Saccharomyces cerevisiae S288C: one gene and its partners. Changing the gene in region 2 together with the main gene of any one other region gives a genetic interaction. Each region holds a gene or a part of one and is shown on either strand. Other genes may lie near its edges.

Evidence for each region.
Region 1: mutations in YCR090C (region 2) and ECM23 together harm fitness more than expected from each alone (negative genetic interaction), as found in Saccharomyces cerevisiae (one large-scale study listed by BioGRID).
Region 3: mutations in YCR090C (region 2) and MET5 together harm fitness more than expected from each alone (negative genetic interaction), as found in Saccharomyces cerevisiae (one large-scale study listed by BioGRID).
Region 4: mutations in YCR090C (region 2) and YHP1 together harm fitness more than expected from each alone (negative genetic interaction), as found in Saccharomyces cerevisiae (one large-scale study listed by BioGRID).

The regions. Positions count from the first base shown.
Region 1 is NC_001148.4:509,504-516,173, reverse strand, and holds ECM23 (Ecm23p), read right to left. Parts: upstream 5,074-6,670; coding exon 4,510-5,073; downstream 1-4,509. Other genes in the region: VTC3 (vacuolar transporter chaperone), read left to right, coding at 1-1,663; SUMO protease ULP1, read left to right, coding at 1,996-3,861; ssDNA endodeoxyribonuclease RAD1, read right to left, coding at 6,175-6,670. UniProt on the Saccharomyces cerevisiae protein: Involved in morphogenesis. May be involved in cell wall organization and biogenesis.
Region 2 is NC_001135.5:269,655-276,384, reverse strand, and holds YCR090C (uncharacterized protein), read left to right. Parts: upstream 1-3,521; coding exon 3,522-4,070; downstream 4,071-6,730. Other genes in the region: putative serine/threonine protein kinase KIN82, read right to left, coding at 1-1,981; FIG2 (Fig2p), read right to left, coding at 4,122-6,730.
Region 3 is NC_001142.9:676,996-687,648, reverse strand, and holds MET5 (sulfite reductase (NADPH) subunit beta), read left to right. Parts: upstream 1-4,363; coding exon 4,364-8,692; downstream 8,693-10,653. Other genes in the region: GTPase-activating protein IML1, read right to left, coding at 1-3,082; TTI2 (Tti2p), read left to right, coding at 8,943-10,208; protein transporter TIM8, read right to left, coding at 10,415-10,653. UniProt on the Saccharomyces cerevisiae protein: Catalyzes the reduction of sulfite to sulfide, one of several activities required for the biosynthesis of L-cysteine from sulfate.
Region 4 is NC_001136.10:1,358,463-1,365,898, reverse strand, and holds YHP1 (Yhp1p), read left to right. Parts: upstream 1-3,717; coding exon 3,718-4,779; downstream 4,780-7,436. Other genes in the region: thioredoxin peroxidase TSA2, read left to right, coding at 237-827; PPN1 (endopolyphosphatase), read right to left, coding at 997-3,021; 40S ribosomal protein uS13 RPS18A, read right to left, coding at 5,101-5,494, 5,930-5,976; snoRNA-binding rRNA-processing protein UTP6, read left to right, coding at 6,997-7,436.

The DNA of each region.
Region 1 (6,670 bases), on a different chromosome or scaffold from region 2:
ATCAAAGAGCGTTATTTTCCCACAGTCATATGATCCAACAATCACTACATTATATTTCGACAACGATTTTTTTGATTTGTACAATAACAGATTGTTGAAAATCAGCGGTGCACCTACGCTGAGATTAAGATGGATCGGTAAACTGCTAGACAAACCTGACATATTTTTGGAAAAGAGAACTTTTACAGAAAATACCGAAACTGGTAATTCAAGTTTTGAAGAAATCAGATTGCAAATGAAAGCCAAATTCATCAACAATTTTATTTTTAAAAATGATCCCAGTTACAAAAACTATTTAATTAATCAACTAAGAGAAAGGGGTACTCAAAAGGAGGAACTGGAAAAACTTTCTAGAGACTTTGATAACATCCAAAACTTTATTGTTGAGGAGAAGTTGCAGCCAGTTTTGAGAGCTACCTATAATAGAACTGCTTTCCAAATTCCTGGAGATCAAAGTATTAGAGTCACTATCGATTCCAATATCATGTACATTAGAGAGGATTCTTTGGACAAAAATAGGCCCATTAGGAACCCTGAGAATTGGCACCGTGACGATATTGATTCCAATATTCCCAACCCATTGAGGTTTTTAAGAGCAGGAGAATATTCGAAGTTCCCCTATTCTGTAATGGAGATTAAGGTTATAAACCAAGATAATTCTCAAATGCCTAATTATGAGTGGATTAAAGATTTAACTAATTCACATTTAGTTAACGAAGTTCCAAAATTTTCTTTGTACTTGCAAGGTGTGGCTTCACTGTTTGGTGAAGACGATAAATATGTCAACATTTTGCCATTCTGGTTGCCCGATTTAGAAACCGACATCAGAAAGAACCCTCAGGAGGCTTACGAAGAAGAGAAGAAAACTTTACAAAAACAAAAGAGCATTCATGATAAACTTGATAATATGAGAAGGTTATCCAAAATCTCTGTACCAGATGGAAAGACCACTGAAAGACAAGGGCAAAAAGATCAGAATACTCGCCACGTTATTGCAGATTTAGAAGATCACGAATCATCAGATGAAGAAGGTACTGCATTGCCCAAGAAATCTGCAGTCAAAAAAGGGAAGAAATTCAAAACGAATGCAGCTTTCTTGAAAATTCTTGCTGGAAAAAATATTTCAGAAAATGGAAATGATCCATACTCCGACGATACAGACAGTGCCTCTTCTTTCCAATTACCTCCGGGAGTTAAAAAACCAGTTCACCTTTTGAAAAATGCCGGTCCTGTCAAAGTTGAGGCAAAAGTTTGGCTCGCCAATGAACGTACATTCAATAGATGGTTAAGTGTAACCACATTGCTGAGTGTATTGACCTTTTCTATCTATAATTCAGTGCAAAAAGCCGAATTTCCACAACTAGCTGATCTGTTGGCCTATGTATATTTCTTTTTGACTTTGTTTTGCGGAGTATGGGCTTATAGAACCTACTTAAAAAGATTAACTCTTATTAAAGGTAGAAGTGGTAAGCATTTGGATGCACCTGTGGGACCTATTTTGGTTGCAGTTGTATTAATCGTTACCTTGGTTGTTAACTTTAGTGTGGCTTTTAAAGAGGCCGCTAGGAGGGAAAGAGGATTAGTAAACGTTTCCTCCCAGCCTTCGTTACCCCGTACACTAAAACCAATTCAAGATTTTATCTTCAATTTGGTTGGGGAATAAGAACATGTATATTTTTTATATACACATATATTACACAAGTACCAGTTACTATCATAATTAATTAATTGTTCTCTATTTATACATATTTGCTCTTCCGTATTAAATCATATTAAACAGCTTTCAGCAGGTGCCGGCGCCGCCTCTTTTTATTTTCAAAATTCAAAATGCACATAATGAGAAGATGTGTGTGATAGTTAAACCCAGATCAAAAAATAGCTGAAACGTTCGTTTCAGCTCCGCAAATCTATATTGCTAATTAAAATTATTCATCAATATCTACTTCTGTTTCAGTTTTTTTCCTCTTCTTCCTCTGACCTTTGGATATCATAATAATGTCAGTTGAAGTAGATAAGCACCGGAACACACTACAGTATCATAAAAAGAACCCTTACTCCCCTTTATTCTCCCCAATTTCTACATATAGGTGTTATCCTCGGGTATTGAACAATCCCTCCGAGTCTAGAAGATCAGCCAGTTTTAGTGGTATTTATAAAAAAAGAACCAATACGTCAAGATTCAATTATTTAAACGACCGCCGTGTTTTATCAATGGAAGAATCAATGAAAGATGGGTCAGATAGAGCTAGTAAAGCTGGTTTTATAGGAGGCATAAGAGAAACTCTTTGGAACTCAGGTAAGTACTTATGGCACACATTTGTGAAAAACGAACCTCGCAATTTTGATGGTTCTGAAGTAGAAGCAAGTGGTAACAGCGACGTTGAGAGCAGAAGTTCTGGAAGTAGGAGCAGTGACGTACCATATGGTCTACGTGAAAATTATTCCTCGGATACAAGAAAACACAAATTCGATACGTCGACGTGGGCCTTACCAAATAAAAGGAGAAGAATCGAAAGTGAAGGTGTGGGGACACCTTCAACCTCACCAATCAGCTCTTTGGCTTCTCAAAAAAGCAATTGTGATAGTGACAATAGCATAACTTTTTCGAGAGATCCTTTTGGTTGGAATAAGTGGAAAACAAGTGCTATTGGTTCTAACTCAGAAAATAACACTTCTGATCAGAAAAATAGCTACGACAGGCGACAGTATGGGACAGCCTTTATTAGAAAGAAAAAAGTTGCAAAACAGAACATTAACAATACTAAACTGGTGTCGAGAGCACAATCTGAGGAAGTAACATATTTACGACAAATATTCAACGGAGAATATAAAGTTCCAAAAATATTAAAAGAAGAAAGAGAAAGACAGTTAAAATTAATGGATATGGATAAGGAAAAAGACACTGGCTTAAAAAAGTCTATAATCGACTTAACTGAAAAGATCAAAACAATTTTAATTGAGAACAACAAGAACAGACTACAGACAAGAAATGAAAATGATGATGATTTAGTATTTGTTAAAGAAAAAAAGATATCTTCTTTGGAAAGGAAACATAAGGATTACTTAAATCAAAAGTTGAAGTTTGATAGATCTATATTAGAGTTTGAGAAAGACTTCAAAAGATATAACGAAATTTTAAATGAAAGAAAGAAGATTCAAGAAGATCTTAAAAAAAAGAAAGAACAATTGGCCAAGAAGAAACTTGTTCCTGAATTAAATGAAAAAGACGATGACCAAGTACAAAAAGCTTTGGCATCTAGAGAAAATACTCAGTTAATGAATAGAGATAATATAGAGATAACAGTACGTGATTTTAAGACCTTGGCACCACGAAGATGGCTAAATGACACTATCATTGAGTTTTTTATGAAATACATTGAAAAATCTACCCCTAATACAGTGGCGTTTAATTCATTTTTCTATACCAATTTATCAGAAAGGGGTTATCAAGGCGTCCGGAGGTGGATGAAGAGAAAGAAGACACAAATTGATAAACTTGATAAAATCTTTACACCAATAAATTTGAACCAATCCCACTGGGCGTTGGGCATAATTGATTTAAAAAAGAAAACTATAGGTTACGTAGATTCATTATCGAATGGTCCAAATGCTATGAGTTTCGCTATACTGACTGACTTGCAAAAATATGTTATGGAGGAAAGTAAGCATACAATAGGAGAAGACTTTGATTTGATTCATTTAGATTGTCCGCAGCAACCAAATGGCTACGACTGTGGAATATATGTTTGTATGAATACTCTCTATGGAAGTGCAGATGCGCCATTGGATTTTGATTATAAAGATGCGATTAGGATGAGAAGATTTATTGCCCATTTGATTTTAACCGACGCTTTAAAATAGTTATTCTTTTATAATATACAATTATTATACATAAGTAGAAATATTCAGATCATTGGATATGGAATAAAGTTCAATAAACCACTTGAAAATAAATCATAAGAATAGCATAAGCACCAGCTCAATTTAGATGTCTGTACAAAAAGTAATATATTTTAGAGATGAGCAGGCAGAACCACACATTAGTGACGATTGTCTTCGACCTTATGTGGAATCTTAAGCTTTAACATATAAGTAAAAATTTTTATTTTCAACAAAAGATTAGAACGAAATGAAATTCCTTAATTGAACCTTCTCTTGGATATCAATCTATTGGCAATCATTCCTAGAGAATATATTATTGAGTGAAAACTGTAGATACGTGCTAAGCGGTAAAGCCCTTATGAACATCGTCACACTATCTCTATATTGAGCCTCCGTAAATTTCGAATCATTTGAAATTCATTTTTCCTGGTAGGAAGATACTTGATAGTGGAGGATAAGTAAAGTAAATTGTGGTTATCATTTATTTGGTGGTAAAGTACCTTTTTTATGTTTTTTTTGAAGATGGAAATTCAGGCATTTTAAAAAAATAGAAAGCTCGAAATATCTCAAAAAACATAAAAATAGAGGAAGAATCCGCTGAATATACCATCTTTACAAACTACTTAACTATTTATTTTTAAATATAAAATTTTTAGTACCATCATCGGAGGATTGTTGCGATCGTATTTTTTTCTCCATTTTTTTCCTATATGCTATGCCACATCGACTACATAGCTCAACATTTCCATTAGGTCCACTTCTCCACTGAGAAGTCCAGGTGTCACCACAAGTGGCGCACTCTTTTGGTTGACCGTTGGGGAGTATAGTTTGTTTCTTCCTACTTTTAGGTCTATATCCTGCTAAAGATTTCTTTCCATTGGATGATATTGGTAGTGATGAAAAAGATGGGGCTGGTAGAATAGAGGGGTTATGCAAAGGCCCACCAAGACGACTTTCTTCCTTCAATTTTGGACTCAGCGCACTATTTAAGCTTTTGATCTTCTGTTCAAGAATATCTGCTCTTTTTAAATCTGGCGTGACACCAGATTTCGGGATACTGGCTACTGAACAGCAATAATTGGGATTAGCGGCAATGAACAGAACCATTTGTACAAAACGATCGAAGTGGAATTTCGTTCTACGACCAGAGCTACTAGCGCCGCTTGTTCCCTGCTCTTTGTTATATAACATAATATGATTTAAAAGTTCTATCACTCAGCACTACAACGCAGTATTTTTATTCTAGATGACCAGTATAGCAAATATTGTTACCCTTGAGATATTGGTAATTTAACCAAATCTCAAGTCATAAATGCCTCCCTTTTAAGTTTACATAGGCAGTGGACAGATTGGTACATCATATTAAAGGAAATAATGAACGCTAAAAAGAATGCCTTTTACTGACACATTCACTTTTAATACGAAAACGGATTTTGTGGTATATGACGTTGAGCACTGCGTGGTTTTCTGTGAATCCGCCGTGCCTAAAATGGACCCTTAATTATTTAACAATAGACCGGCCCGAATAATGTTAACATGAAGGGAAAAGTGCACATAACTGCAAACTACTTTGGTAGGTTGATTATCAGAGCTAAGCCATCCTACAGGTAATGATTTCCAAATTTTTTCTTAAGTAAAAAAGTTCAGAAAATAGAAGAAATATAAAATTTAAAAGGAATTACTGTTTACGAGACACATCGTTCATTCTTGGATAAATATACAAATCTACTTAAGAAAAAGCTTTCCTTATTTGTTGTTTCCTACTTTGTACCATTTGGTTTATTATATATCGTTGTGGAAAAGAAACTTGGTCTCTTGAATCTTAGTCGCAAAAGAAAATTTTTACCCACATAGGTAATGGAAAAGAGACAAAATTATTTCTGGACCTTATTCAAGAGGATGAATTTGAAGCATTTATTAATAATGAATATGATTGTGCGCTTCTAAGAAAAACTCACGGGTAATTTGGCTTAAAATGATTCACTAATGCCACGCTCAGATTCCACCAAATACGGTTAAAAAATCAAAAATAAATGAACTTCATTTGGTCATTTTTACTGCTAAAAAGTGGAAGATGAATTGCGGATGATATGAAAAATTTGAGTGAATAAACTATGAACGCGAAAAAAAGAATATATATGCGGAATAAAATATCAAAGTAAAAGATTCAAAGAGCATGTCTAACTTATAACATATACGGTCGAAGTCACCAAATGAATATTGTTATTTTCACTATAGTTAATCGCATTTTATACTGATGTTTTAACAGGGTTCGTTAAATTAAACAATATTTTACACAGGTGCTTCAGGAACATCATTATGATGATCATGTAAAGCGTTATCATCAGTGGTCTTACCAGGAGATTCAAGATTTTCATCTGTTGACTCTTGTTCTTGTTCTTCTTTTTCTGTTCTCAAGAAGTAGTATATTCTATCCGTCAAATCTTCGTCATTAATAAGTTCATTAATCTCATTCCATGAAAGCTTTTGAAGCTTATTGAAGCTCTTGATCTTTTTGCGGAGATTGAAATAATCAATTTTTGACACTCCAGGAACATTCAACAGTCTCTTGAATTTAGACTCGTTATCACCATCCTTCAGGCCCTTTGCAGTGCTATTAAAATCCGATCTAACTTTATTCGTTCCCAATATAACTGCATTACTAGGGTCAGGTTGCTCACGTCCTAATTTCAACTCTAGGATTATATTTACAGTTTGCAGGGGTGAGGAAGACCATATAATCTTTAAAGTGGGAAACCGCAATACTAATTTGGCTAGTTTTAGCTGA
Region 2 (6,730 bases):
TTTCATCATCGTTTGCAACTTTCTCACAGAACATTTTGGTTTCCTGTTCACTCACTGAGTTCCTTTTCGGGTGTTTATTGCAAGACAATATAAAAGGAAGTTCGCAGCCGTTATCATTTAATGCAGGTATTAGAGGGGGGTCTTGGTTTCTTAAGAACGACCACTGAACTTTTTTGAAGAAGGGATGTCTCTTTATGTCTGCAGCTCCTGATTTGGAACCAAGCCTTTTTGCCTCGTTTTTGTTTAGTAGTTTCTTTATCAGGTCTTTACAATTCTTCGAAACTTCCTTATCATGTGGAAATTTGACGTCCTTGGTTAAAATGTTAGAGAATGTTTCATTTGAATTATCTCCTTTAAATGGAGTACAGCCAAATAGCATCTCGTAAATCAATATTCCTAAAGTCCACCAGTCTACTGCTGCAGTGTGGCCATTCCCTCTGATTACTTCTGGAGCTAAATACTCTTCAGTACCAACAAAGGAATTAGTTCTGAATCCATCTGAACAAATTTTTGTATCTAAATACGTAGAGTCTTTCATGGTGGGTTTTTTTGATCCCGTTGCTTGGATGGATAAATCAAAGTCAGAAAGCATGACATGACCAGATTGATGCAGTAATATGTTTTCGGGTTTCAAATCTCTGTATATGAAGCCCAGTAGGTGTAAATATTCCAAAGCTGCTACTACTTCACTGGCGTAAAACTTCGCATCTTCTTCTGCAATGCATTTACTTTTTCTTGTTTGTAAGGCTCTAAAGAATTCCCCTCCCATGCAGTATTCCATACAGAGATACAAATAGTCTTTGGTTTGAAAGGAATGATACAGTGTCACAATAAATGGATGATCACTTGTCGCGAGAATTTCCTGTTCAGTGAGTACTCGTTTAATTTTCTTCCTCTTGATCATCTCATGTTTATTCAAAACTTTCAGGGCGAATATCTGGTTGGTATCGCGTTCCCTCACTAAATACACTTTACCTACGTCACCTTGGCCAAGTAGTCTAATTTTTTCGAAGGATTGAGGTTCGACAGTAATGTCTTGGAACTTGTTACCGAATGACTTGGTTCTTAAACGACGAGATCTCCTCGGTTCTACAATATCTCCCAAGCTTGGAGGTTGTTTCAAGGCAATGTAATCTTCCCGCATTAACCCATCCTTTGCCGTATTGAACGGTTCGGAAGCGGCCCTCCTTAAACGTGGTGTTATGTTCATAGGTATTTGATCCTTTCTGGTTTCGCTATTTTTCCTTGGGGAATCAATTGGTGAATTGGATAATGACAAGTTAGCCAGGGGGGAGGCACTGCCATTTTCGCTGATTTTTCTATGGAAATTTTGGAGCTCTTCATTTTCGTTAATATCATTCAAAGATCCATTACTCAGGTTTCTACTGTCCTTTGCTATATAACTTGGGGAGCTAGGAGTGTGGAAGGATGACGGGTCTGTGGGCATGTCAAAGGTAAATAACTCCGCGTCCGGAGAAGAGCTACCTGAGATCTCATTAGGTGTGGAGCATATCGCCTCATTGGGTATAAGTGTGCTACTTGTAGTACTATGGACATTTGGCTCACCGATAATGGAACTTTGTAACAGCTCTGTATGTATCGTCGACCGGGGTTCACGCTTATGCGTACCTTTTTCTGAAGTTGACGCATCTGTAGTACCACTGCTCTTTGATCTGTTATGATTAAACATTGATTTGAACTTGTTAAGTTTGGAGCTTGACCAGCTATCGTTGCATTCTACATGCAGGGGAAACGGTATGGGAAGATCTTGCTTGTTTCCATTACAAGCCATATTAATTTGTGAGCTTGGGCTTGCGGACAACGAACAAGAATTGACGTTCAAACAATTGACATTGATGTTTTTGCCAGGAGGTGCATTGTTTTGCAGAGATCTCAAATTACGAGCAAATATTTTGGGTAGCGACATGCTCCTCCCCTTGGATAAGCGTTGTGAGGGGGAACGGTATTCTTGCTGAGTCATGTGTACCAACACTGTTGAACCTTGTTTGCAGTAATCCTTAGGGCACTCAATGAATTCTTGTACGTTTCAAACATACTATAATTAAAGAAGAAGAACTTTCTCTAAAAAAACTGGGGTTATTATGTCTTATGTTACTCCTTGAACAATATAGCTGAAAGAGGGAAAAAGGAAAGTATATTTCCGAAAAAGGATGCCGAAGACGGCGCTATCATAATTATGTGTTTGAGAGGCAGTTCACGGTTACATTCTAGTTCTTCTAGCGTCTGTTGTAGTATGAAAAGTACTTTATTGAATGTCCTTGACATGTTTTCCCAGGATCCAACTTAATGCTCCTCGCACTCATGCATGGGTCGGCCACACTGGAGATAATGATATTTATCTTGATATTCTTTGAAGAGTTGAAGAGCCAGCAGGAGTTTTGGAAGGATGTGACATTCTTAGTGGTTTTGATTTTTTTTTTTCAGTTCTGGCTTGTTCTTTTGTTTCATTGATGACGAAGGATTCGTTGAAGTTGAATGCACACAAAAAAAGCTTGATAACTAGTAATATTTTCTTGGCAGTCACATATATGGAAGGTGAATTTAGAGTAGTTTCCTTATAGCCTAGCGGGCTATTACCTTGTAAATACCACACTATCAATCCTTAAATGTATTGCTAATTGGCTATTAACCTAGATGTTTAGCTATTTATTATCTGTTGTTCGCTTAGCTAGGTACTGCTTTTTATGTTGTATTTTATCGAGAAGTTTAGTGTCGCCAGTTATAAAAAAAAAATTTAAACGTAAAGAAAGGTTATCGACAAATTAACGCAATATTACATGCCCTTTTCACCGTATCATGGTATACACTGGTGCATTAGTAGTAGCATACCTTTGAAAATAAAATGAATAACACTGTGAAGACGTAATGGTGTGTTTAGGCTTCACCATGACCAATTGTAGTATAATTTGCAATTTTATCACTAGGATTGTCACTAGCACATTAAATATATATATTTATATTGGTCCTTATTTTTATGAATTTTTTTTAATCTTAGAATTACGGAGCGTTTATGGCTTCATTGACCAAATAAAATGATTGGGCTGAAAGTTTTGAAATATTTCCATGATTCACTGCGGATGCATCCTATTTACAACAGACAGAAGGAACTGACGTGTTTTTCGTGAATGAATTAGATATATATGTGAAATTATGTTTTTTGTTGTTTGAATTTTTGATTTCGAATTGGATTATTATTCTTTGTTTATCTCATCACTAATTACTTACTGCAAATGTACTTTGCCATAAAAAACTAAAAGATTGATCCTTTTATGCTCAAGCTTTGCTACTATAAGATAATTTAGATGATCTTGGCAGTAAATTTTTTTTTTTTTTTTTTTCAAATTTAGTTCTTCGTTGCCTACATTTTCTTAATTTTGTTTCCATTGCTTGTATCAAAAACTTATGAAATTACAAGCGTCAAGAAGCTGTTTATAAGAAGTAATGAAAAATTTTGAATAAAGACAACTTAACCAATAAAGAAAACCAGGTTGTGTACGATAATGCCGTTATTTTTGGTTCTGAAAGCAACATTATCAGAAAACGTGACCAAGGTTTCAATTGAGAATACAAACGAATCAAGGGCAGAATTTGCCTTCGATCTACAATGTACCAGTTGTAGAGAATTACACGATTCTAAAGTCATCATCAATACATTTGAAGAATATGCTATGCCGGCATCAAAAGGTACCGCATCTTTCTTGATGAAGTGTAAATTTTGTTCAAAAGAATTGTCAGTTAACCTGTGCGCTTTTGAGGATGAATATTTAACTGATCAGAGTGACGACAAATGGGCCAAGATAAAAGATGTGCGGAAGAAGCATGGTTTATCGAAGGTCAAAGAAGATTCTTTCATTCCTTTAAGCCTTGATTGCAGAGGTTGTGAATTAATCAAATTTTATCCCGACACCATAACGTTTGAAGTTTCTCTAAGTTCGGGGAAAGTAATGTCATGCCAACTAGAGGATAATGAATGGTATGATTATGATGACAACCTTGGGGAAGAAGTAACAATGACTGATTTCTCATCAAGCATTATTAAAGGTAAGTAAAAAGAGTGTCTGTTTATAGCATATATACGTACATATAATATATACGGGAAATTAAATGAAGTTGATCACCATTACCATTATCATAAAGAACTTACTACAGAGAAATTTTGACGCCGAACCAGCATACGTACTGACAATGGGTGTAGTAATCCAAGTTGAGGATGCAGCAGCAACAAAAGAAGTAGCAATCCCACTGGAGGAAAGTCGTTGCTCGACATAGGTCGTAGTTGTTGGCTTTGGTGCTGAAGTTATGGCCACTTTTGTTCTCGTTATTATCGTCGTTACTGATGGAATTACAGTTTGGCTGGAACTTGTTATGGTTATCAGTTCTCCATTAGTATCACTGGATGTATATGTAACTGGCTTCACTGTAGTAATTGATATAGTGGATTCAGTTGAATGCACTTCCACTGATGTTGTTGTTATGGCACTTGGGGTAATGACAGACGTCATCGTGACGTATTGAGAATTTAGCTCACTTGTAGCGGAAGCTTGGCATCCTTCTCCACTACATGCAGATATTGTAGCGCTTGATTTATACGTTTCGGATACTTTACACGAGTAACCATCACAGCTGCTAGATGTGGTTTTCTGGCACTCAGATCCAGTACATGTCATAGTATCAGTAACCGTAGATGGAGGAGTAGTGGCAGTTGAAGTCACATCGTCACAGTTGGATCCATTACAGATAGTGGATACCTCCTGTTGGCATTGTGAGTCTGTGCAAGTTAGTGTTGCGATGGAAGTAGTTGGTTGTAGAACAGAAACAGTGTCAACAGTTGGTGATATAGAAAGAGATGGCAACGATGCCAATGATGATGATGATGATGATGATGATGAAAACTGAGACATCAAAATAGACGACGAGACTGGCGATAACGACAATGATGATTTAGAGGACAATGGTAGAGAAGACGCTATGAAAGTGGAGGAAGATACTGCTGTTGCTGTTGGAAGTGTTGATGACGTAAAAGCGGGAGATGGTAAAGAAGTGGATAACAACGAAGTTGATGATGGCGAAGATGCTGATATAGAGCTAGATGATGGTAATAACGGGACAGAGGTGTGTGTTGACGTTAGTGTTGATGCAGTTGTTGTTGAGAATGATGATGATGATGATGTAGAAACAGAGGGGGAATATGCTAACGTTGAAGCAGGTGAGGATGATTGTGTTGGCACATCTTGCGTACATTCAGTACCTGAGCATACTCCTTTCGACAAATATCCAGATGAAGATTCTGATTCTGTTGAAGTGCTCAAAGAAATAGAAGTAGATGTTGCAGATGAAGCGGAAGTAATTCTAACTTTGGCTGTCGAGGAAGTTTGAGTAGTAGCACCTAAAGTCGATTTACTTGTTAATGGACACCAAGTCGTGTATACAGTCTTCAAACCACTTATGGTGGTGGTAGCAGTAGATAATGTATATTGAATAGAGGTCTGAGATAAAGATGAGGATGGTTTTGACGACGAAACAAACCTGTCAACACTGCGGGAAGATTGAGAAGAAGCAGCTACAGTAGATTTTTCTGCCAATGGACACCAAGTTGTGTACACAGTTTTGATTCCGTTGATTGTTGTAGTAGCTGTAGATAGTGAATATTGGGAAGGTGTAGAAGAAGAAGGTAAAGAGTACCCCGAAGAGAAGTTGTATGGAGAGGTAGTACTACTGGGCTTTTCATTTGTTGATATGACATTAGAAGAAGAGGACATTATTGTATTAGTTAAAACGGTATTTGACCATTGAGAGACAGATGTGGTGGAGCGTTTTTCTGAACTTGTGAATGCCAAAGGCAAACTTTGCGTACTGACAGAAAAGGTGGACATTTCTGAGGAGGCTTCTAAGGAACTTTTTTTGGTGGAGGCTAAAGAGGAACTTGACGTTGAAGAAGTTAAGTATGGAAAAGGAGTACTTCTCATTTGCACAGATGTAATAACAGTCGGTGTGCAAATCGAATTAGAACATACTTCGGTACTCATAGTTACGGTTTGATGGGATGACAATGTCACCTCTACTGCCTCCGTTTGTAGAGTTTGAGAAGAATGTCCATTAGAAGGCGTGCCTTTCGAAGTAACAACCTCGGTAATGACTGTTGGGACACATTTGGAATGGGAACATACCTCTGTACTAATAATTAGGGTTTTTCGGGAAACCACAGTAGTATTTATCATTTCAGTAGACAAAGCCGGGAAAAGTAAGCTTCCAGTAGTGGTAAAGTTTTGAGTACCGAGAGTGCTAATAGTTTCGGAAGCAGTAGAAACCTGGGATGTGGTTGAACTCTCGCTAGCAGTGGCCGTCGCAGAAGTAGCAGACACTTGAGTGCTAGTACTAGTAGCTTCGGAAGTAGCAGAAACTTGGGTATTAATAGTTACTTCAGAAGCAGCGGGATTTTTTGCACCTTCGGATACTGTAGAAGATAATACCGTAGAGCTAGAGGTTGATAAAAGGGGGATTGTAGAGCTTGTTGCAGTAACACTGGTAATAACCGTTGGAGTACACTCAGAATGAGAGCAGACTTCAGTGGTCAAAACTAATGTTTTATATGATATGGATGTCGTATAAGCAATACTTGATGCCGGGCACCACGTTGTGTATTCCGTAGCAGCACCGTTCACCGTTGTTGTGACAGTAGAAAGCACAAGCGTTTGCATTCCGCTGGTCT
Region 3 (10,653 bases), on a different chromosome or scaffold from region 2:
ACGGAATATAACTAGGAACCTGATCAAACAAGTTTGCTTCATCTTTTCTCAAATACCTCTCCACATCAATAATTCCACTTGACGAGCATGTTATTCTGTGTATTTCAGAGTCGATCATTAGATAAAGTTTGAACGCATCATTTTGATTGAAATCTAAATACTTGTTGACTACAGTTTCACTTTCACCACTTTCCCTAGAAAGTTCTATTTTTTCTACTTGTCGGCCCACGCAGATTTGAAAACCAGTTAACAGTCGCATATAAATCATATCACGAAGTAAGTCTTTGTATGTCTGATTATATTGTTCTTGATCTGTGTTTAAAGTCACTGAGTGATTTCTGAAGATGAAGTTCCTATCAAAATCATCCTTGGATGGAAAATCAGAAATTGTGATTGGTAACTCTGCTGGGGTTGTAAAAGACCTCCATTTACTATATTTTCTGGCCACATATTTTGGCCATACATCTTTCCAACGTATAGGCAATAATTCGTTGGCAAATTCACTACTTACCGGAATGGAAGGACTTTTAATATCCACCCAAGTTTCACTTATACGATGTTTCAATTGCTGTGTGAGGCTATAAGTGTTCGAGTCATCATGTTTTGATTTTTGCCCTTCTGTAATGAAAGCAGCCTTGTCTGACATATTAGAAAGTTTAGAGGATGTTCTGGTATGTGATGAGCCTAAATATGAGGAGGGTGAACCACTCATGATTTCATTACTAGGTAGCCCAAAAATGGATAGGTTTTTCTTTATTATCAAATTTCCACGTTTACTGATAACGTTTTCATCTGCCAGGCCTTTTTGTTGTAATTTCAGGCCACTTATTTTACTTTCAGAAGATGGTAGTGGTGTATTTGAACCTAAAGGTGAGTTATCCACATCATCTCTGAGTAATGTTGACTTTATTTTTTTATTTTTACTTGTGTCTATGTTCGAAATAAATTTTGTAATTACTCTTTGAGTAAAATCTTTCAATGAGTTCCTTTTGCTTAGTCCTTTGAGCGAATCCAGCGCCAAAGATGTGTTTTGGTTATCAGCAGATCTCACAGAGACCAATGAGTCATTCATTTCGAGATTGTCATTGTTAGAAGTGGTGGGAGTGCTAATTTTATCATTTGTAGTATTACAATCATCATAAAAAGAGGCCTCTATTGTTTTTATTGATAGATCTGGTATTACGTTTGGTTTTTGAATATCCTTAATGGCTGGGAGAGCAACTTTTGGACCTCTCCATATGAATTTTGTGTTACCGTGTGTTGTTGTTGCTGTTGCCGGGATTTTCCTTGCCTTCACAACAACATCATTCTCGAAGACGGTATCAAACTTTGAATTTAATTTCTTAGATTGTTTCGTATTAGAGCCAGCGCATAAAATTTTCACCTCGAAGGCATTTTTGTCGTAATCATTCATAAACTCGGATAGTGATTTGACTTTCTTGTTCAGCTGTAAATATTCAACATCCACTTCCCGAATTAACTCATTTTCAGTAATCCCCATCATTTGTAAGTCATAAATTTTACATCTTGGAGTCCATTCTGAGTTACTCTTTTTGTCATGATCATTCCAAAAGAAAACACTTAACCAAAGCGGTACACAATGATGAAGCTTGTTCTCAAAGTCTCGGTACCTAAAAAGTGGAACTATGTGCAATGGAGCTTTTGAAAGACATATTAAATCCATCGTCATTTCAAGAGAGAGTAGTTTTTTTCCTGTTAGCCTTAATAAACTATAATCAACGTCAAATAATCCAGACCCTGGTGAAATAATCATGACGTGCGTTGTAGTGTGTCGAAGATCTAATTGCTTGAAAGGATCCGTTAAAATTGTCGTGGCAAAATTGACCAATTCGAGAAAATTCGACTTGATTACAGGTGAAAATCTTCCATTCGCTACACTGTAACCCTTATCCGTTTGCTTGTTTAATAAATCTTTTCTGATTTCCATAAATTCTTCTCTTAATGTTTCCATAATATCAACCCAATGGATAATACTGACTTGATCTACAACTATCCTAAAATAATCCTGTGAATTTTTCAAAGATTCGCCGGGTGTTAAGTCCTTGAATGATGTATCAGACAAGTCCATTGATATAGCGAAGGCTATAGTGATAGTATGGTGGGTGTCCACATCTTTCCATTTTTTGAAGATCTTCGGGAAAAATGAATTAACCATCTTTTGAAATAATTGTTCACCAGTTTCTTCGAAGTTCCACATTTCATCAGTTATTTGAATCAAAAAAATTAATCTGGCAGATTCGGACCGAAAAATTATCCTTGTTTGTTCGCCAATATATCCAGAAACAATCTTCTTACCATTTCGATAAATTCCCTTAATAGTACCTCTGATAGAGTCTAAGAATGCCAGTCTTTGATCCATAAACACACATGTATCTACCAGCTTAGATGATAGAACCCACATATCACCTCTATTTAGTAGGCAATCTTTGATATTAAACTCTACCACATCTGCCTGTAAGTCAAATTTGTTTGGTTTCAATTTTATCCATATCCTAGACCTAGAAGGCAAATCTAACAAAGTTTGCAGTTGACCCGAAAGTATTGAAACATTAGATGTTTTTGCCCTTCTTTTAGTCTCTCCGTCAAAATCTTTTGCAATAAAATAAATTTTCTTATCTCCGTTCGATGCAGATGGATTTTTGTGATATGTTTTCAATTCTACCAAATCACCAGGTTTTATATCCGGGAACTCAACTAGATTTAGCATCACTAAATTCTCGGAAAATCGGGACTCATGATAGCCTAATTCAGCTTGATACGCCTTTATTTTCAGTCCTGGAATATGATGGCGATGGACCCGTTCCCCATTGTCATAATTGTTGTCACCACCATTGTTGACGTTATCGTCATTTTCCTTATTTGAAATCAGCTTTCTGCCGGAAGCCCTTTGTTGAGAACCAAACTGCTCTTTCTTTTGTCTTAAATTTCTATTGGAACCTACTATCAAATTACCCGATGATAAGGATATGCTATTTGCGTGAGTAGTATTGCTAGTCCTTGGAGTTTGTGAATTGATGGAAGAAATTGGTCTTTGTTTCTTCCCATGCAATTTAGCGAACATCCTTAAAAAGTGTCCCTTGTCAGTGCTGAGTTATTTCCCTGCTTAAAAAGTAGTTACAGAAACAATTCGTTGTTCTGTCACTTACTATCTTTTAAACAATAATGATTAACATAGATAGTGATTCAAATAGTCACGTGATCTCTTTTAGAGAAAGGACTTAATCCGTACACAATGATTTAATTTTTCATTACCTTATAATGTGATAGTCATAATAGCAATGAAGGATTAGTAATTACCAATATAAGAGCTCTAGCACATTAGCTATGAATTTGTCAGCCGCACCAAACTAACATAAAGGTCTTACTATGTTAAAAGTTCTTGTCCTTGAATAGAAATAAATGAATGAATCTAGTACCCTTCCCCATTCACCTAAGTTGGCTAGCCATATTTTCGGAAAAAGAGTGGGAGGAACAAGATGCTAGATAAACAAATATTCATGTTATTAAGCTTAGAATTTTGGCTCTGTTTTGTTTATTTCCAGATTTCTATTTTCTGCTATTCATCCAAAATATATTTTCTCACAAAAGCTGTTAATTTGAAACTAATGTTAAACAAAACATCTCACTTCAAATTGAAGCCAAATTAGAACCTAAGTAACCAACACACGCACAACTTTCATCCCTTATCCCACTTCTTTGAAAACTTTTAGAAGCCATTGATGGTATTGTACATTTACCTATCTTAGCAGATTCCTTATTAGCCGCCGAAATGGGTAATAAGTATTATAATCACTAAATACGAAAAATTTATTCATACCAACCCGCAACATGAACTACAAACCTTTGGGTATATAATGACAAAGACGTATCAAACCAACACATAAGGCTATTTTCAGGCAACTAATATGCTGTTTTATCTGCGGAATTTCACCAACTGACTTTTACTAAGCACTCAATAAAGATGCAGGTAAAATACGTGGATTTATGAATCCGGGTAATATAATTTGTCCACGTGATATTTCACAGAATGAATTTCATCACGTGCGTATTATCTCTTAACTCATAATGCCACAATTACCACCACACAGAGGCAGGAATGGTTTAACTGCTAAGAGACACTGGAAAATTTGAGTCATGGAGATGCGACGAATTACTGGCCGCTGCAAGCAGTTATATAAAGTGTTGGAAGACGATAGTTTTTAATGTGAAATAAAATTGGGATATAGAAAGGTTCCTTTGCTTGTTATTTTTTTTCCATCGTCTTGATATTTATTCAGATCCCTTATATACTAATAAAGTAACAGTAGGGAACGGGAACCAGAGAAAAACAAAAGATTGGCGAATGACTGCTTCTGACCTCTTGACGCTCCCACAATTGTTGGCGCAATATTCCTCTAGTGCTCCCCAAAATAAAGTGTTCTACACTACTAGCACAAAAAATAGTCATTCATCCTTCAAAGGGCTAGAATCTGTTGCCACAGATGCTACTCATCTATTGAACAATCAAGATCCATTGAATACCATCAAAGATCAACTCTCTAAGGACATTTTAACTACCGTTTTTACAGATGAAACTACTTTGGTCAAATCCATCCACCATCTATATTCTCTTCCTAATAAACTTCCATTGGTGATTACAGTGGATTTGAATTTGCAAGATTATTCCGCAATTCCTGCGTTAAAGGATCTTTCTTTCCCCATCTTAATATCTTCTGATTTGCAAACTGCAATTTCAAACGCGGACTCTTCTTATAAGATTGCTACAAGTTCTCTGACCCCAGTTTTCCATTTTCTTAACTTGGAGAAAATTGGCACGAGTACAGCTATTGAACAAGACATCGACTTTCCTACCTTGGAGATTGCTAACGAAGAGACTAAAGTAGCATTATCAGAAGCTACTGATTCATTGACAAATTTTGAACTGGTTAAAGGTAAAGAGTCAATTACCACTGTCATTGTTAACCTGTCACCATATGACGCGGAATTCAGTAGCGTATTGCCTTCAAACGTAGGATTGATCAAGATTAGAGTATACAGACCATGGAATTTTTCCAAGTTCTTGGAAATACTGCCATCTTCTGTTACCAAAATCGCCGTTTTACAGGGTGTCTCTAAGAAATCGCAATCAAACGAATTTCAACCATTTCTTTTGGACTTCTTTGGCAATTTTAATGAATTAGTTTCTAGGAACATCGAGCAGGTAGTGTTGACTAATATTGGTAATGTGAATGATTATGGCAACGTTATCAACACCGTCATATCGAATATTAACAAGAAGGAACCAGATAATAACTTATTTTTAGGTGAATCCAATGAAAAGGCTGAGGAACAAGCTGAAGTTACTCAACTTATTTCTTCTGTCAAAAAAGTTGTGAACTTAGAAGACGCCTATATCAAAGTGCTAAAACAGTTATTTTCATCAAATCTACAAATTTTGAATCAATTTTCCAGTGAGACAATTGAACCAAGTAATCCAGAATTTGGTTTTGGACGCTTTTTAAAACAAGAAGCCCAGCGTGAAGAATTGATCAGCTTAGCAAAAACCTCTCTTGATCCAAGTCTTTACTTGTCCGAGGATGCAAATAAAATTGTTCAACTATTATCTAAATGGTTGTCATTCAATGGACGCGATCTTGACGAAGCTCAATTACAAGAGGCCAATGCGACAGGTTTGGAAATATTTCAGTTATTACAATCTAATCAAGATTCCTCTACTGTCTTAAAATTCTTAAAGATAGCTCCAACAAGCGATTCTTTTATTTTCAAATCAAGCTGGCTAATTGGCTCCGATGCCTGGTCTTATGATTTGGGTCACTCAGGTATTCAACAGGTTTTATCCTCCCGTAAAAACATTAATGTTTTATTGATTGATTCAGAGCCATATGACCATAGAAAGCAAAACCAGGATAGAAAGAAAGATGTTGGTTTGTACGCCATGAATTATTACAGTGCCTATGTTGCCTCTGTAGCAGTATATGCTTCTTACACCCAACTATTGACTGCAATAATAGAGGCATCTAAATACAATGGTCCTTCTATTGTCTTGGCTTATTTGCCGTATAATTCCGAAAATGATACTCCATTAGAAGTCTTAAAGGAAACCAAAAACGCCGTTGAATCTGGTTACTGGCCATTGTATAGGTTTAATCCTGTTTATGACGATCCATCAACAGATAAGGAGGCATTTAGCTTGGATTCTTCGGTTATCAGAAAACAATTACAGGACTTCTTAGACCGTGAGAATAAGCTTACCCTATTAACCAGAAAAGATCCATCTTTGTCAAGAAATCTAAAGCAATCTGCTGGTGATGCGTTGACAAGGAAACAAGAAAAAAGAAGCAAGGCTGCCTTCGATCAGTTATTGGAGGGTTTGTCCGGCCCACCGCTACACGTCTATTATGCTTCTGACGGTGGTAATGCTGCAAACTTGGCAAAGAGACTAGCAGCAAGGGCATCTGCAAGAGGTTTAAAGGCTACTGTTCTGTCCATGGATGACATTATTTTGGAAGAATTACCTGGTGAAGAGAATGTAGTTTTCATTACTTCCACGGCTGGGCAAGGTGAATTCCCCCAAGACGGTAAGTCTTTCTGGGAAGCTCTGAAAAATGACACCGACTTGGATTTAGCTAGTTTGAATGTTGCTGTTTTTGGTCTCGGTGATTCTGAGTATTGGCCACGTAAAGAAGATAAACATTATTTTAACAAGCCTTCACAGGATTTATTTAAGCGCTTGGAATTATTGAGTGCCAAAGCCCTAATTCCCTTGGGACTGGGTGATGATCAAGATGCTGATGGTTTCCAAACTGCTTATTCTGAGTGGGAACCTAAATTATGGGAAGCTCTTGGTGTTTCCGGCGCTGCTGTTGATGATGAGCCAAAACCTGTTACAAACGAGGATATTAAGAGAGAATCTAATTTCTTGAGAGGTACTATCAGTGAGAACTTAAAGGATACTTCTTCAGGTGGTGTTACTCACGCTAATGAACAATTAATGAAATTTCACGGTATTTACACCCAAGACGATCGTGACATTAGAGAAATACGTAAGTCACAAGGCTTAGAGCCATACTATATGTTTATGGCAAGAGCTCGTTTACCAGGTGGTAAGACCACTCCACAACAATGGCTTGCTCTGGATCACTTATCTGATACTTCAGGCAATGGTACCCTGAAATTAACAACAAGGGCAACCTTCCAGATTCATGGTGTGCTAAAGAAGAACTTGAAACACACATTGAGAGGAATGAATGCAGTTCTTATGGATACATTAGCTGCTGCAGGTGACGTGAACAGAAATGTCATGGTTTCTGCTCTACCAACCAATGCCAAGGTTCACCAACAAATCGCTGATATGGGAAAATTGATTTCTGATCATTTCTTACCAAAGACTACGGCCTACCACGAAGTTTGGCTGGAGGGCCCAGAAGAACAGGACGATGATCCATCCTGGCCATCTATTTTTGAAAACAGAAAAGATGGTCCAAGAAAAAAGAAGACTCTAGTTAGCGGTAACGCTTTGGTCGATATTGAACCAATTTACGGTCCAACTTATCTGCCAAGAAAGTTTAAATTCAACATCGCCGTTCCTCCATATAACGATGTGGATGTATTATCTATCGATGTCGGTTTAGTTGCTATAGTTAACCCAGAAACTCAAATCGTGGAGGGTTATAATGTTTTTGTTGGTGGTGGTATGGGTACCACTCATAACAACAAGAAAACTTACCCAAGATTAGGGTCATGCTTAGGTTTTGTTAAAACTGAAGACATTATTCCACCACTTGAAGGTATCGTTATTGTCCAAAGAGATCACGGTGACCGTAAAGACCGTAAGCATGCTCGTTTAAAGTATACTGTAGATGATATGGGTGTCGAAGGCTTCAAGCAAAAAGTGGAGGAATACTGGGGTAAGAAATTCGAGCCTGAGAGACCATTTGAGTTTAAATCTAATATTGATTACTTTGGATGGATTAAAGATGAAACTGGGTTAAACCACTTTACCGCATTTATTGAAAATGGTAGGGTTGAAGATACACCAGATTTGCCTCAAAAGACAGGTATTAGAAAGGTTGCTGAATACATGCTTAAGACTAATTCTGGTCATTTCAGATTGACTGGTAATCAACATTTGGTTATCTCTAATATTACAGATGAACATGTTGCTGGAATAAAATCTATTTTAAAGACCTATAAATTGGATAACACCGATTTCAGCGGTTTGAGATTATCTTCATCTTCCTGTGTTGGTTTGCCAACATGTGGTTTAGCGTTTGCCGAATCTGAACGTTTCCTACCTGACATTATTACTCAGTTGGAAGATTGTTTAGAAGAGTATGGTTTACGCCATGATTCCATTATTATGAGAATGACTGGTTGCCCTAACGGTTGTTCTCGTCCATGGCTAGGTGAATTAGCTCTTGTTGGTAAAGCTCCACATACTTATAACTTGATGCTTGGTGGTGGTTACCTCGGCCAAAGGCTAAACAAATTGTATAAGGCCAATGTGAAGGATGAGGAAATTGTCGACTACATCAAACCATTGTTTAAAAGGTATGCTTTAGAAAGAGAAGAAGGGGAACACTTTGGTGATTTCTGTATAAGAGTAGGTATCATTAAACCAACCACCGAGGGTAAATACTTCCATGAAGATGTGTCTGAAGATGCCTATTAATGATAGCATATGACATAGTAGGACATACTATTGGGTTTTCTTCCCACATTTATTTATTTTTTTCGCAATTGAATATAACTTTTTATTTTATAGAAACATATTTATTTGTATAATCTTGTATATTAACAGTTAAGACTCATTATTGTTATCCTTCGGCTAGTTCGGTTTTTCAATAGCAGATGAGAAACGAAAACTATGAAGAATGAAAACGAGGTGAAGAATAAAATCATATAACAAAATATTGAAAAGAATGACGGCCGTAACTGATATCATCGATGAATTGAATGATTCGAGTCTTTCTTCTACAAGGCTTCGAGAGTTGTGTCTCCAGTTACGAAAGAAGACAGATACTGGATGTGCAATTACGGTGTCCGATGAGGTCAACCTTATTGAATCTCTCTCATATCACTCCATATCTCCAGGAGTAGACATACAAATCAACACAGATGTTTTGCAGACTATAGATTACTACTTTCAGCGTAACAAAAGTGAACATGACGAAATTATGTGCGTCCTTATTTCTAAGTTACAGCCACTACTTTTAAAACGCAAAAGCAACTTCGAACTCAAAGAGCAACGTAATCTTGGTCTCAAACCCACGCTTGGAATGTCTTTGAAAGAAGATAACCTAATGCAGGCGTGGGTAAGTCAGGGTGGCTTGAAAGGCATTCCGTTATTCTACGTAATTCTGTTACATTTGAAAAGGAGAGACATATCTACGAATCTTTCTTGGATTATTCCAGGAATTCTAAACATACTAGATGATACCACTGATATAAGAAGAATTAAACTTCGTGGTGTTCTGCTCCTACAGACGCTATTAAATCATACCTTTATGAACGAAACCAATGACTCAAAATGGATACAGTTCTCTAGTACTGGTTTATTTCCACTGTTCGAAAAGACGCTAATCAATATGTGCTATTTTCTCCCTCCCTCATACAATGCTGATGAAACAATAGCCATATGGCGGGTCGTTTTCCCAACGATACAGTCGTTATATAAAGTAGAATTTTTGGACAATTACACAAAGTATCAATATCACCTGGAAAAGTTCATGTCAGAGATAATCTTGCAAAACATAATTCCTAGGGCTAGCCTTGCATACGAAAATTTGACGTTATACGCATTGGAATGCACAATGAACATACTGAGACTTCAAAGAGAAGGGTCTGTTGTACATCTCCAGAGGCTGATTTTTGTTTTAGGTGAATATATTGTACGAAATCCTTTTTACACAACTTTTCCAAAACTTATTTCAAAAACTCTTTCAGTGGTAAGTACTCTCATAAAGGTTTGCCCGAATGAAAGAATAGTGGCTCACAGATTCGACATTTTATCATTAATTCTAGTTACATACGATAAGTGTTCGCAAGAGGATGCGTTGAACGAATCAATACTACAACAATGTAAGGAAACGATAAGCTGGTTGCTGAATTGTGACTGCGCTATGGGTGAACAGTTATCGACTCTATCTAAGCAACCGCGGTTTCAGTTACTTTTTGAGTTCTCATAGGAAACAGACACAGACACAGACAAATGCATATACATATATATATATATATAACTAGACAGTATATAAACAAAAAGAGTTATTTGCCCTTTATGCTGAAGAATCCCTTTTAAAGAAACCTTGGACATATATTAAAATATTCATTTGCTTATTTACAGATATATTAAGGTAAAGAGAATAATGACTCGGAGAGATAAATCGGTTTCATATTAACGGGTGTTTTGCAACCCGTTCACAATCCTGATATTAGTATCCAAAAACCGATTCACACAGTTAGACAAACATTGCTCTTCTTGCGAACTTAAATTAGAATCATTGACAGACTCAACACATTTTTTGAAGCATATATTAGTGAATTGATGGATTGACATCTGGACTTTTTGTTTGGAGTTCTCTCCCTCCAAGAAAGTAGCAATTTCCTTTTTGGAAGTGTCATCAAGGGAGGCCA
Region 4 (7,436 bases), on a different chromosome or scaffold from region 2:
GAGGCTCTCCTTTCTCTTACACATCTGCTAAGGTGTTTGTTACCCGAGTAATCAAGGATCAACTATGGATGAGATTTAGATTAACGTATTTAGAGCAGACGATTGTAAGAATATATTTTGTAATTTCGATTGTTTTTTGCTACTTACATTGTTTATCTTGAAATATCCAAAGTGAACACTATTACTGTTTTTTGCTCAAGAATATATTAGCCTTACAAGAACGTAAAAAACCAATCATGGTAGCAGAAGTTCAAAAACAAGCCCCACCATTTAAGAAAACCGCCGTAGTCGACGGTATCTTCGAGGAAATTTCACTGGAAAAGTATAAAGGTAAGTACGTTGTTCTAGCTTTTGTCCCATTGGCTTTTTCATTTGTCTGTCCAACTGAGATTGTTGCGTTTTCCGATGCCGCCAAGAAATTCGAAGATCAGGGCGCCCAAGTTTTATTTGCCTCCACCGACTCTGAATATTCCTTACTGGCATGGACCAACCTTCCCAGAAAAGACGGTGGATTAGGTCCAGTTAAAGTTCCTTTGCTTGCTGATAAGAATCATTCCTTATCCAGAGACTATGGCGTTTTGATTGAAAAAGAAGGTATAGCTTTAAGAGGTTTGTTCATAATCGACCCGAAGGGAATCATTAGACATATCACTATCAATGATTTATCTGTTGGCAGAAACGTCAATGAAGCTTTGAGATTAGTCGAAGGTTTCCAGTGGACTGACAAAAATGGTACAGTTTTGCCATGCAACTGGACCCCAGGAGCCGCCACCATCAAACCTGACGTTAAAGATTCCAAGGAGTATTTCAAAAATGCCAATAATTAATCTTCGCACGATAACGCTAGGCCCTATTAAATAATTAAAAATACATCACCCTATATATGATAAGAAAGATGGTTTTGTATTATTATGAAATTGACTTGAAAGAATAGTGTAACAAAAGAAAAAGAAACTGTAATTGAAGAATGATATGCATTTCTATGTGTATATTAACTTAATCATCTTTATATCCAGAAGACGCAAATGACCATTCGACGTATTTTTCCCATGCAGGTTTGTTTTCGTATAATCTGCCTGCAAGATCCAAATAACTTCCTACTGTTAACGAATCCATTGAGTATGGTTTCTCGTCTGAGGTATATTCTATCTCATACCTGAAAATATCCTTAGATTCAACAAATGAATTATGTAATTCTTGATTGATTTTTTCCAAGTCGGCGTAGAATTGGACGAAACGCGTCGGAGTGAATAACTGCGGTACATATGCAGGGCCGAGTTCGTATTTGTCTGGCATCTCAATTGGCATAGTCTTGTCATTTTTCTTTTTCTTCTTGTTTTTCTTTTCGCCCATCTTCTCGCGGTTGATCCCAACCTCGATATTACTGCTGTCCATTTCATCTTCTAGCAAAGAGTCTTCCATAATCTTATTTAGTGACTCGAAAAATTCATCCCAGGGCTTATACTCCGAAACTGCAAAATTGGAGTCATTCACTATGTCGGTGATGTTATATTCCCAGATCCTAAAGGAAGGATTGAAAGTTGGAATGACTGAACCACCTATGTTCACAATGGAATAGCGTTCAATGAGCTCTTTTCTAGTGATTGGCTTTTTCTTTTTTTTGTCCTTCTTTTCTTTCTTTTTCTTCTCATTTTCAACATTTTTTTCATCCACTCTTTCCAGCTTATTCCACACTTTCCGATAGTATGTGTCGCGGACGGTGTTCATATATGCTTCTTTGTTAGATGGTTTCGCTCCCATTAAAAAAACTTCTTTTGCCGCCATAGCGTGATCCAGAATTCTATTCAATTCAGTTTCTTCGTCCTCTTCATTACTGTCTTCTCCTTGTTGAACACGAGTGGATTGCTCCATGGCTTTCAATAACGATTTTCTAGCTTTTTTACCATCCGTTGGGATGAAGTGGTCAATATTCATGTGACCGTATAATCCTCCAATGATTATATCCCTGTATTCGTGAGTCCATAGCGTGAACTTATCGTAGCACGACTGATCGAAATTTTTTGCGATTGGAGGTACATGTCCACTTAACCATACTTTCATTCCCCTACTCCTTAGTTCTTCTAATACATAACCGAACCAAAGTAAAAGTTGGTAACCTGGTTCTTTTTTTGAATTACAATTGTCAACTAACGGATTGGCCTTGAATAAGTACAGCGTGTTAATTGACAGGACAGCAAGCTTCCCTGGAATAACTTCAGTCAAAAATGAAGCACTCCTATCAAAAGTTCTTTGCTGCTGCTGCGGAACAAAATTTTTCCAAATCCTATAATATTCTCTAGTTTGTAGAGTTGGTCCTAGTGCAAACATGTTATGTGGAAAGACATCATTGTTTCCAAGACTTGGAATGACAGACACATCAAAATCTCTTGGATCTTCTTCATTGCCAGCACTAAATAATTCTGTCATTTTATCAGCAACGATATTGTTCATATCAAAAATTTGTGCTTCTGTTCTTGGATGTTTCCGGTCATTGTCATGTCTGATATTATCACCCGTCCAAATGACAAAATCAATCTTATCTCTAAGATTTTCTTTAATCCATCTCAGAGTTTCTTCCATTAAAATAACGGGAGAATCACATCCAGACATTGCCTTCCCAAACTTGGGTGCCACATCCTTTTTTTTGCTTGGTTTTCCTGTGTGACAAACTGCATCAATAGAGCTTCCTTCCACATAATAAGGGTCAGGATGAATATCGGTAATATGAAGGAACCGTCCATGTAATTTTCTCTCCTTCCCTGTCTTTACGTCTTTGATAATTACTGGCTCCCTAGGTGTCAGTCCTAGCCTTGTAAATTCTATGTCATTGAGCAATTGAAGTGACTCGTTGTCCCCCCTGTCATCTAAGAATTTGGAGAAAACGGAAACATATTGAAATTTAGCACCAATTATAAACACGAGGAAAAACAAAACACAGGTCGACAGGATGGCAATCAATGATTTCTTCTTCGGCCTACTCATGCTTACATTGCGCACTTCACTCTTACCCACTACAACCATCGAAAAGCAGCTAACTAGCTCTACCCCTACTCAATGAAAACAATAGCTGGAGACAAGGAGATCAAAAAAACTTTATAATTCTCCAACCCAACAACCAAAAAAAATATTGATCTGTTGATTTTAGCCTTCTTCTGACTTGTATTCTACCATAAAACCCTTTACACTCTCAAATGAATCTTGGTAATTAAAAGTGCAATATAACTTTAAAGGTGCTAAATTCTAATAACGACATATGTCCTCAATAGTCGGGTAATGGTCATATTTGTCCTCTACCGTACGAAGGGAGCATATTATGCATCCTGCTCGAAACGCTCAGAGAAGGGCCGCACAGGTGGGCAGATCACATTTCCTCTTTCGGCTATAAACCACGTCCTAATTTGGACATGACGCGCGCCAAAAACCCGGAATGGTAAACATCAGACGCGCTTTCCGTGCAGGGATACGTCGGTATTTTTAATATCAATGCTGAATTGGGTTAATAGCATGAGACATTTCAGCCAGATTTTTCGTTTACTCATTGTTTATTTGTTTGATCTGGATCACACAGATGAATGTTTATAAATATATATATGGCGTCCTCCCGATCTTGCCAACGTAGATTATAATTCGTATTATCTTCTTCTTTACCCTCGCCAGCCAGTGTAACTAGCATTTGTAGGGAAATAACAATAACACAAAATATCGTATATATATAACATGGAAAGCAGAAATACCGTGCTTCCTTCTTTACCAAACATTATTACAGGTACTTCTAATTCGCCTTTCCAACTGCATACTTTGCCAAATACAAACTTCCCTAGTGATGACCAAGGTGACATCAGGTTGCCACCATTAGCTGCATCTGCGCACATTGTGAGACCAGTGGTAAATATTTATAAAAGTCCTTGCGATGAGGAAAGGCCAAAAAGGAAAAGTCCACAGGCTGTGGATTTCTTATCACAACGTGTAACCACTTCCATGACGCCTTTATCCAAGCCCAAGAAGCTGAGCTCTCATTCACCATTCACGCCAACGGTCAGAGTCTGTTCTAAAGAGCAGCCACCTCAGAGTATGCACTCTTATAAAAAAGTTAATATTCTTACTCCTCTATCTGCTGCAAAGGCTGTTCTCACACCAACCACAAGAAAAGAAAAGAAAAGGTCATTTGCCTTTATTACACACTCACAGGAAACTTTTCCAAAGAAGGAGCCTAAGATAGACAATGCTCGGTTAGCTCGTCGGAAAAGAAGAAGAACTTCATCATATGAGCTTGGGATATTGCAAACAGCATTTGACGAATGTCCCACGCCCAATAAGGCTAAAAGGATAGAGTTATCCGAGCAATGTAATATGTCCGAAAAATCGGTTCAAATATGGTTTCAGAACAAAAGGCAGGCTGCTAAAAAGCACAAGAACAGTGGCAACACCAGCCATTGCAAAGTTCACTCTAATGATTCGATGTCTATGATATCTTACTCAGACGCTGCGTTGGAAATTACCTCTACGCCAACGAGTACGAAGGAGGCTATTACTGCAGAGTTGCTGAAAACTTCACCTGCCAATACGTCCTCGATCTTCGAAGACCACCACATAACGCCTTGCAAGCCCGGCGGACAGCTCAAGTTCCACAGGAAATCTGTGCTTGTTAAGAGAACATTATCAAATACCGGTCATAGCGAGATTATCAAAAGTCCTAAAGGCAAGGAAAACCGCCTAAAGTTCAATGCATACGAAAGAAAACCCCTTGGGGAGGTCGATCTCAATTCTTTCAAAAACTAATCTTTCTCAGTGTTTATTTTCTTGAGCACTGATGCTATCAATATTAACAAAAACTACACAAAGTAATGACTGAGACTACACCAACGTTTTTTTTTAGATTTAAAGCGGCCTGTTTCATAAATCTATATAGAGATGTAATATTATATTCTTTCAAGGGTCCATTTATCCCTGAAACCCTGTACAAAAAAAAGGCAAGTTGAAATTATGGTCACAAAATTAATTTTCTTTTCTTTATTTATTTTAAAAAAAAGTCAATTAGGAAGTGCTATGGAAATATATGTACTCGTACAAAAAAGATTAAGCTTGAATAATCTTATCAGTTTAAGCTCTTCTTCTACCAGTGGTCTTGGTGTGTTGACCTCTAACACGCAAACCCCAGAAGTGTCTGATACCACGATGAGCTCTGATTTTCTTTAATCTTTCCAAGTCATCTCTCAATTTGGATTCGACGTTGTTAGCCAAAGTGTGGTAGTCCTTACCATCAGTGATGTCATTTTGACGGTTCAAGAACCAAGCTGGGATTTTGTAGTGAGTTGGGTTTTGCATAATTTGAACAATTCTTTCCAATTCTTCTTGGGTCAATTCACCAGCTCTCTTGTGTAAATCAACATCAGCCTTCTTACAGACCAAGTTGGAGTAACGACGACCAACACCCTTGATAGTGGTCAAAGCGTAAACGATCTTAATGTTACCGTCAACGTTAGTGTTCAACAAACTGCGTAAAAAAATTTAGACGGGAAACCGAACTTATTGATAAACGTTAGTAAAAAATGTGCATAATGGATTTCACGGCCAAGACAAAAATCGGAGCAGGATATAAAATTTTAGTGTTGGTTGGTCAATATCCGCCAATAGCTGATTCATTGTAAAGCATTCCCGGTACTTTACCTCCGACCGCTATTGCAATGTTCCGTAATTATGTGCGCTTATGCCAAATTCATGTTCCTTTTTGATGCATAAACCATAAATTTGTTCATCAGCCTTATTATTACGTTCTTAGTCCAGCCCGGGAACATCATTATTATATTTAATCACGTCGTTAGCGAATAATCGCCACGATTAAAGAGGTGAATGAATTTCCTTTCTTGTCTGTCATATTTTTAAGTTTTTAGCCGATTTTGTCATAGCTCACTAGTAATAATAAACATACCGTAAAATGTGTTGGAAGGAACCTTGTTCTTGGACAACTAAAGACATCTTTTATCCGCTCTTGTGTATACGTTCACTAGTATCTCAACGTTTAAAAACTCTACTAATAACATGTAGAGCTATCTTCAATTAACCCTAGCTTTGACAATACTTAGTGGTCGAATGACAGATGTGTCCGACCTGGCTGGGGCGACATTTGCTCTCCCGGGCATGATCTTGGGATGGGCATATGGGACTGGGAAAGGCATCTTTCGGAATCGCAGTTCCCCTGAGCGCGCGTCTCCGCAAGGAAACACCATATGCCGCTTCAAATTTCTAAAAGCAGCATGTAGAATATTTTCAGATAGCATGCATGGGTGCGTAATGTACGGATGTTTAATGTCTTTTTAATCATTGAAATTAAATGTACTTTTTTGTTGCCAGACACGAAACTGTACGCCAGTAAGTGATGTGGATGCTATTTTAAAAAAGTTTTGGATATAATGGCCTGCTGTTCCTAAAATATACTAGAATTAATAATATCGTTCTCAATTTATGCTCATGGGCCGTTTAAAAAAAATACTTTGTAAAAGTTAATTTAAGGTATTGACTGCACAAGTGACAAATTATAACCACATCTCTATTGAAACACTTGCCGTGATCAAGATTATATTATACATGTATGCTATTTAATTTTTTCAAGTCCTATTTTTACTTGTTTTCAGGTGCAAAACTGCTTTAGCGCAATACCGGTAAGAATAACGAAAAAAACTTGTAGTATCAGTACTTTATGCTGCGGGTGATAAAGTTCGATGCGTCAAAATATTACTATATCGTTAACATTATGAGCTTTTACGCGAAGTGGCTAGGTTCTATTTTGTGCTTTTCCTGCGCTGTCAGATATAAGCTTCATTAAGTGATGGGAATCCGAACACGCTTTTTCATCCGGGTATTCTCTTGAAAATTTTTTAGAAAGATCTGGGCGATGAGCTAAATATCAGGAACACACAGTGAACGTGAATAAACACATATCTAAGGGCATAACATTGTGAAATTGACCAGAGATACACACATCACCGATTTCTAATAATGTCGAAGACAAGATACTATTTGGAACAATGTATTCCTGAAATGGATGACTTGGTGGAGAAAGGACTATTCACTAAAAATGAAGTTTCATTAATTATGAAGAAAAGAACTGATTTTGAGCATAGATTAAATTCCAGAGGGTCTAGCATAAATGACTATATAAAATACATTAACTATGAAAGTAACGTCAATAAATTACGTGCCAAGCGGTGTAAGAGAATCTTACAGGTTAAAAAGACGAACAGTCTATCTGATTGGTCTATTCAACAAAGAATAGGTTTTATTTATCAAAGAGGAACGAACAAATTTCCACAAGATTTAAAGTTTTGGGCAATGTATTTGAACTACATGAAAGCGAGAGGTAACCAAACATCATACAAAAAAATTCACAACATTTATAATCAGCTTCTAAAGTTGCACCCAACGAATGTGGACATTTG